Linked DNA regions of Saccharomyces cerevisiae S288C. The gene in region 2 interacts genetically with the main gene of each other region. Each region holds a gene or a part of one and is shown on either strand. Other genes may lie near its edges. The genes, in order: LDS1 and LDS2.

Region 1 (3,653 bases), on a different chromosome or scaffold from region 2:
TTATGAAGATAAGGATATTCCCATTTTCATCTTATCAACAAAGGCAGGTGGATTCGGTATTAATTTGGTGTGCGCAAATAATGTTATTATATTCGATCAAAGTTTTAACCCACATGATGACAGACAAGCTGCTGATAGGGCACATCGTGTGGGACAAACAAAGGAAGTTAATATAACCACTTTAATTACTAAGGATTCCATAGAGGAAAAGATTCATCAACTGGCCAAAAATAAACTAGCTTTAGATTCGTATATCAGTGAAGATAAAAAATCTCAAGATGTGTTGGAAAGTAAAGTTAGTGATATGTTGGAGGATATAATTTATGATGAAAACTCGAAACCGAAGGGAACCAAAGAATAAATAAATAAAAATATAGTAAAAAAGTAAATAGATAAGCAGAAAATAAACCAAAAAAATAACATATTTATTTTCTTCTGCGTGAACGCACCATGTGGAAAAAGAGAGTTGATAGAACAAAGGACAAAGAAATTTAGAACGGTAAAAATATTTTCTAGAGTATAATATACATATATGTGTATATATACATAGGTTAGTATGTATAGCTAGGTAATTTTAATCTGGGGAGAGAAATGGTGAACTTTTTTCAATTTATTGATTCGGTTGTTGATTGATATCTTGTGGTGCTGCTTCAATTTCAGCTTGAGTTTCTACTAAATTTTCAGGGACCATTGGATGATCAAGGTTAAATAAAACGCTACCAATAGTATTTGTAGAAATGGCAAAGCCCGCTAAAATGGGCACGGACTCAATCAAACCGGCCAAGAAACCAAATGAGGCATATTGGCCAGCGTGGAGATAAATATTTTCACGTCTTTGTATGTTGTCGAAATTTTGTAAACGTAAAACTTTCGTGAAGTAAATTTGAGTGATGAAAGGAGAAATTAAAATATGAAAAAGGATTGGTCCAATAAGTGGGAAAAAAGATATAACCAACAGCACAAAAAGAACCGACAGGCCTAACATGTACTTGACCAACTTGAATGGGAAATAGTAAGCCCAGAAATATATCGAGTTAATAGGTGCATAGTACTTGATTGGTTTGACTTCACTCAAATTCTCCTCTAAACCATTCTTCTCTAAGCACACCTCCACTAAATGATTATTAAAATGACTGAGTCTCATAAACAATAAAGTGAAAACATTTGCTTGCAAAAAGGAATGAAAAATGGCAATGAAAAGCCCAATAGGGCCCAGCACAATCAAAAAAGCTGTGTACATTGGCGTAATTGTAGCCCAATACACAAAGCTTACCAGGGCAAACATTATCAAGTAACTCGATAATATACCTAACATAGTCGTTGAGTAACTGCTCTTATTGGTGTTGAACTCTAAAAACCCTTTGAACGGGTACATGAATGCACCTCCTGTGAATGCATCTTTGAAAAAGTTCATTAGCACGTATCTGGTACGGCTCATAACTTTGCTGAAGTGCTTCTTGTAAACTTTATCCAAGTACTGATTGAAGGGGATGTTGACATATGGCAGTTTTTCATACGATTGGCCTCCGCCAAACTTGTACACCAAACCACCAATACCTGCCAGCGCTAATGAACCTGTAAAACTCATTTCCTGTTGTTGTTATTGTTTGTATAATGTACCTTTGTTCCCTACACTATAACAACACTTATTCGTGGCAAGAACGAAAATAAAAAATGATTTGAAACTTCCTTTTCCACATCTATATCTATATATATATGTATATGTATAATACTTATTACTATGATATTATTCCATGTGTCACAAAACCAGAAAGATCCCGTCGTATTATTGAGTCACGTGCTTTATTCCATGGCGGGTAATAAATATTAAAACAAGGGTTTTTTAAGTAAATGATTACATGCTAAGGAAGTGGTGAATAAGATTTGGCAAGGGGCAGGTCGCTAACCACAACATAGCATTCGTTGAAAAGGAAATCAACGTTACAAAGTGCAGTTTTTTGTATTATTTTCCTATTATCCTCTTCTTTTCCTTTGTTTCAGGCGTCGTTGCACCTTTTTGCTATACAAAAGCTCATAAAAGATTAGAAACCCCGGATATCGTCACAACAGCGGTATATTATAGTTATTTTGCATCTTTTTGGTAAGTCAGAAATTAGAAACAGTAGCTTACCAATTGAGTGAAAGTTTCCGTTCGTCATCTCCCTCTTTTGTTTTTTTTCACCTTTGTTTTTCTGTTTCTTCTATTTTTGTTTTGTTTTGTTTTGTTTTGTTCTCTCCCTAATTTGCATATAGGTAAACATCAAAGAAGTAATGCCCTACATCGGTGCTTCCAACCTCTCAGAACATTCATTTGTTAATTTGAAGGAAAAACATGCGATTACACATAAAGGTACGAGCAGTTCTGTAGCATCTTTGCAGACACCACCGAGCCCCGATCAAGAGAACCATATTGACAATGAATTAGAAAATTACGATACGTCTTTAAGTGACGTTTCAACCCCGAATAAAAAGGAAGGTGATGAGTTCGAGCAAAGTTTAAGAGATACATTTGCGAGCTTTCGGAAGACTAAACCCCCACCTCCTTTAGATTTTGAACAACCAAGACTTCCTTCGACAGCTTCTTCATCCGTTGATTCAACCGTATCATCGCCCTTAACGGATGAAGACATAAAGGAGTTAGAGTTTCTTCCGAATGAATCAACTCATTCTTATTCGTACAATCCACTTTCGCCAAATTCCCTGGCAGTCAGATTGAGGATTTTGAAGAGATCATTGGAAATCATAATACAAAACCCAAGTATGCTACTGGAGCCTACTCCAGATGATTTGCCTCCTTTGAAAGAGTTTGCGGGCCGTAGGAGCAGTTTACCAAGGACATCGGCTTCTGCAAACCATTTAATGAACAGAAATAAGAGCCAGATTTGGAACACTACTTCCGCTACTTTAAATGCATTTGTAAATAATACCTCTTCCTCCTCAGCAGCATCTTCTGCTTTATCTAACAAAAAACCGGGCACCCCAGTTTTCCCTAATTTGGATCCAACACATTCTCAAACATTCCATAGAGCCAACTCGTTGGCTTATTTACCTTCCATCTTACCTGAGCAAGATCCGCTGCTCAAACATAATAATTCTTTATTTCGTGGCGACTATGGAAACAACATAAGTCCTGAAAGGCCAAGTTTTAGACAACCCTTCAAGGATCAAACTAGCAATCTCCGCAATAGCAGTTTACTCAATGAGAGGGCATATCAGGAAGATGAAACTTTTTTACCGCACCATGGACCCTCTATGGATCTATTGAATGAACAAAGAGCGAACTTGAAAAGTCTTCTGAATTTATTAAACGAAACACTGGAGAAAAATACTTCCGAGAGAGCTTCGGATCTTCATATGATATCGTTGTTCAATTTGAATAAACTAATGCTTGGAGATCCCAAGAAAAATAATTCAGAACGCGATAAAAGAACTGAAAAGCTTAAAAAGATTTTGCTGGATAGTCTTGCAGAACCATTCTTTGAGCACTATAATTTTATTGGAGATAATCCGATCGCAGATACAGATGAACTAAAGGAGGAAATTGATGAATTTACAGGTTCTGGAGATACGACAGCGATAACAGATATACGGCCCCAACAGGACTATGGCCGCATATTGAGGACATTCACTTCTACCAAAAATTCCGCCCCACA
Region 2 (3,892 bases):
CACTTTCATTGTTGGTATCGTTTCAGGAAACCAAATATCAAACTGTCTTATGAAAATCTTTAGCCAACGACTTACGTTACTTTCCTTTGAAGAACTGTGTTCTTTGAATTGTCTTTTTAAACGTTGTGGCCCCTTTTCTGCAAGGGTCATAGAATTAGCATATGTGGCGTGAGAAGCCTGGCTGTGACTTATAAGCTCAATTCCGGCTTTCATCCTTAGTTTGTCTTTACAGCCAACCAGGGGTCCTCAGGGATATACCTTGCCCTTTTTTTCCTTTTTTTGACGTCCCTTCACCTTTCTTGAAAGTGATTTACTTTATTTAGGTTTTGAAGTTCCGAGTGTAACCACCCTGATTTTCATAAGTCCCCTGATTTCCCAAATTTTTTATGCATATACAAATGTTGAAAAGAAACGAATATTATTAGCAAGTAATATATAGTATATAGTATATATATATATTTATATATGTAAACATATAATGAATATATAAATTGGTATGTAAAAGAGTTGCGAGCTTCATGGCGGATTAATGTGAGCTATAGATTGTTGGATTGGAGGTGCATAGGATCCTACAGTAGGCTCTTCTGGTTCCGCAGGAGGGGAAGGAGGTACGGCTGGCTGGTCCCGGTCTTTTATCTCTTTAACTATCCAAAGCGAAGCACCTACTGCGTTTGTTCCAATGAACAACCCACCCAGAATGGGAATAGACTCTAATAAACCGCTGGATATCGAGTAAAGGAGCCACTTGGCAAAGCCCTTGTAGTAAACTTTGGAAAGTTTGCGCGAATCCAAATGTAGCACGTCAACAAAATAAGGCTCAAAATAGTAAAATCCCATTCCGGGGCTAAATGGTAGCATATTGATTGTAATTGGACCCACTATTGGAACGAGCAACAATAAAAGAAACATAAAGGCTATGAAGATGTACCAGAAGAAAAAAATGAAAAACTGCGGCAAAGAGACGAGGTAAAACCGTTTCGAAAAGAGGCCACCCAAACGATGTGACCTTCTGTAGACAAAGGGCGTGAAACTTATCGTTTCACAGGCTTCACTCAACTCTGTTAATCCCTTTCTTGCGAACGTCACTCCATAAATACGTGTGAAAAGAACGAAATCGGTACCCTTCACCATAGAATTACATAGCGTTGTGGAAATCAGAATAGTTTGCATATAAGCCAGAGGTAACGCAAAGAGTCCGAGAAAGGGCAAATAGATGCACACTAACAAGGACCACGCAAGGATTGACGTAAACGCAACAATAAGCAGGAGATTCAGCAGGTAGTATCCAAATATTAGGAAAAATAGATGCAAATAATCCGAGTTTCCCACGGATTCGCTAATTCCCTTCAAAGGCGGTTAGTATGACGGCTTAAAAAACATGATCTGCTTATTGGAACATCAACATACTTTATACGGATACCAGATGATCTGGTGCGACGACTCTAGGTCTTTCCAAAAATTGTCTTTAACAAGCATAGCATTCTTGTACCATCGAACTATCGGAGCCTTGTATGCCATCCAAATTTTTGATTTCTTATGGTTCCCTTGGTCTTGGATGGGGAGTAATTGTGGTTCCTCCCCTTCTGCCAGTGGCGTAGAGGCATATGGATGTCTATGGTAATACCAATCAGGTTGGGGTCTAGTCGACATGTTTGCTTGGTGTCTTAGCAGCTCTTATAGTTCTAATGCTATAACTAAGAAAGTAATAATAATAATAATAAAAAGCTTTATATAATGTTTTATTATGGAAGTTTCGTTTTTGTGGCGCGACGCGATCAGCCAAAATCAGCGGAAAAATTCGTCGGAACATTTTTTTCTTTTTTGGCCAAGCTATTGTTACAGGTGGGGCAGGGGCAAGAGACGATATGTCATCGCGAAGCTGTAAAGACACTTGTCGAAGTGATAAAGCGCAAGAGCTGTTTGTCTACGGAACCAGCAAGTACTATCTAATAGCGTGTTCCAGAGAATAACAGCATTTTTCAACTTCTTTCTCCTGGTGTGAGTAATCAGTACGTGAAAAGAGAACGAAGTTAAAAAAAAAAACAAGAAAAAGAAACAAGATCAAAAGAAACGATAAAGGCTGGCTTATAAAATAATAGCATCGCGAACGATCAATAAGGGGCCCTGTTTATTTTTAACAAAGTTTACATATTTCGTTTTCCTCTTTAAGCTGACATCACGTCTATACCCTGTTTTATTCCTTGTTAGAAACATAACGGAGCAGGTAGTAACAACAACAGTATAAACTATCATAAACTTTTTTCCTTCCTTATTGGTGACTTTTAACACTTAGAATTCTAAGTCTGGCAAGAACAGTAATCATACTTCTTTGCAGGGCGTTTTATTGTTACTCCTCTGCCCTGCTAGATTAAAGTAAAGAATCATAAACAAAGAACACAATGACATACCCGGTTAGTGCAGCCGCTCCTGCCGACATTTCATATTCTAAAAATACCCCGTTGGTAGGGCTCTCTAAACCTCCATGCTTGTACCAACACGCTTCCTCGTCCGTCGATTCGTTTTCGTCAACATTCAGTGATGATGATCGTTCGGACCTTGTTGCTGTACCTAATGAGTCGCCGCATGCATTTTCGTATAATCCCATATCACCAAACTCACTGGGAGTAAGGTTGACCATCTTAAGAAGGTCTTTGGAAATAATGGTAAACAGTCCTGACATCTTACATGAGTTGAAGAAAAAAGCACCCGTAATAGCATACCCCCCCTCACTTAGACACACAAGAAACTTAACAGAGACTGCCACGTTATCAGCATCGCGAGATCCGTTAAATGGGTCTCTAATTTCACCATTAGTATCCAATATGCCATCTCCTGCTAGTAGACCCGTGATACAGAGAGCAACGTCCTTAATGGTGTTGCCTGATAATGATACTGCCAGTAAACTGAATCCAGCCAAGTCCGAGTTAGAAAACTTGTTATTCTTGCTAAATTTAGCATTGGAAAACAATTCCTTCGAAAGAGCTTCCGATTTACACATGCTATCGTTATTGAATATCAAGAAAATAAACTTTGATTCAGACATTCAAAAATCAGAAACTTTGAAAAAGGTTTTATTAGATAGTTTAGCAGAACCATTTTTTGAAAACTACAAGAAGTTCCCTCACAAAGATTTAGGTTCGAAATCGCAATATAATGAATATGAGGAGAAACACGATGATATAGTCTCCTTAGCAGACATCAAACCACAACAGGACTATAGCCGAATTCTTCATCCTTTCACATCTGCAAAAAATTCTGGTCCAGAGGCCATTTTTACATGTTCTCAACAATACCCCTGGAACTTCAAAGCTGCCAATGATTTGGCGTGTCTAACGTTCGGTATATCAAAGAATGTTATCAAGGCACTTACTTTACTAGACCTTATTCATACGGATAGCAGAAATTTTGTTCTAGAGAAAATCATGAATGCAGAAGATGATAACCAAGAAATTGTGTTTACCGGAGAAACTATACCTATCGTCCAGCCAAATTCGACAAGCAATAATAATGTACCAAATCTGATTTGGGCTTCACTATGGGCCAAGCGGAAGAATGGCCTACTGGTCTGCGTATTTGAAAAAACGCCTTGCGATTACATTGACGTCATGTTAAACTTGAGAGATTTTTCAGTGGACAGCATTATTGATACAACACACTTTCTGGAAAACTTTGACAAGAAAAAGCAGCAAGAATCAACTTCGCCAATGACAGAAAAGAAAACGGTAAAATTTGCAAATGAAATTCACGATATTGGGTCAGTAAGTCACTCACTGAGTAAACTAATTGATGATGTACGTTTTGGAAAAGTGTTTTCTGCAGATGATGATTTATTACCCTTGTCTATCAGGGTGGCAAATCATGTCAACGAAGAGAGATATTTTACGTTGAATTG

Evidence for each region.
Region 1: of LDS2 (region 2) and LDS1, changing one enhances a phenotype caused by changing the other (phenotypic enhancement), as found in Saccharomyces cerevisiae (one study listed by BioGRID).

The regions. Positions count from the first base shown.
Region 1 is NC_001133.9:117,954-121,606, forward strand, and holds LDS1 (Lds1p), read right to left. Parts: upstream 1,589-3,653; coding exon 611-1,588; downstream 1-610. Other genes in the region: DNA-dependent ATPase FUN30, read left to right, coding at 1-361; serine/threonine protein kinase PSK1, read left to right, coding at 2,272-3,653. UniProt on the Saccharomyces cerevisiae protein: Involved in spore wall assembly.
Region 2 is NC_001147.6:241,098-244,989, forward strand, and holds LDS2 (Lds2p), read right to left. Parts: upstream 1,651-3,892; coding exon 1,408-1,650; intron 1,345-1,407; coding exon 517-1,344; downstream 1-516. Other genes in the region: RRT8 (Rrt8p), read right to left, coding at 1-213; serine/threonine protein kinase PSK2, read left to right, coding at 2,400-3,892. UniProt on the Saccharomyces cerevisiae protein: Involved in spore wall assembly.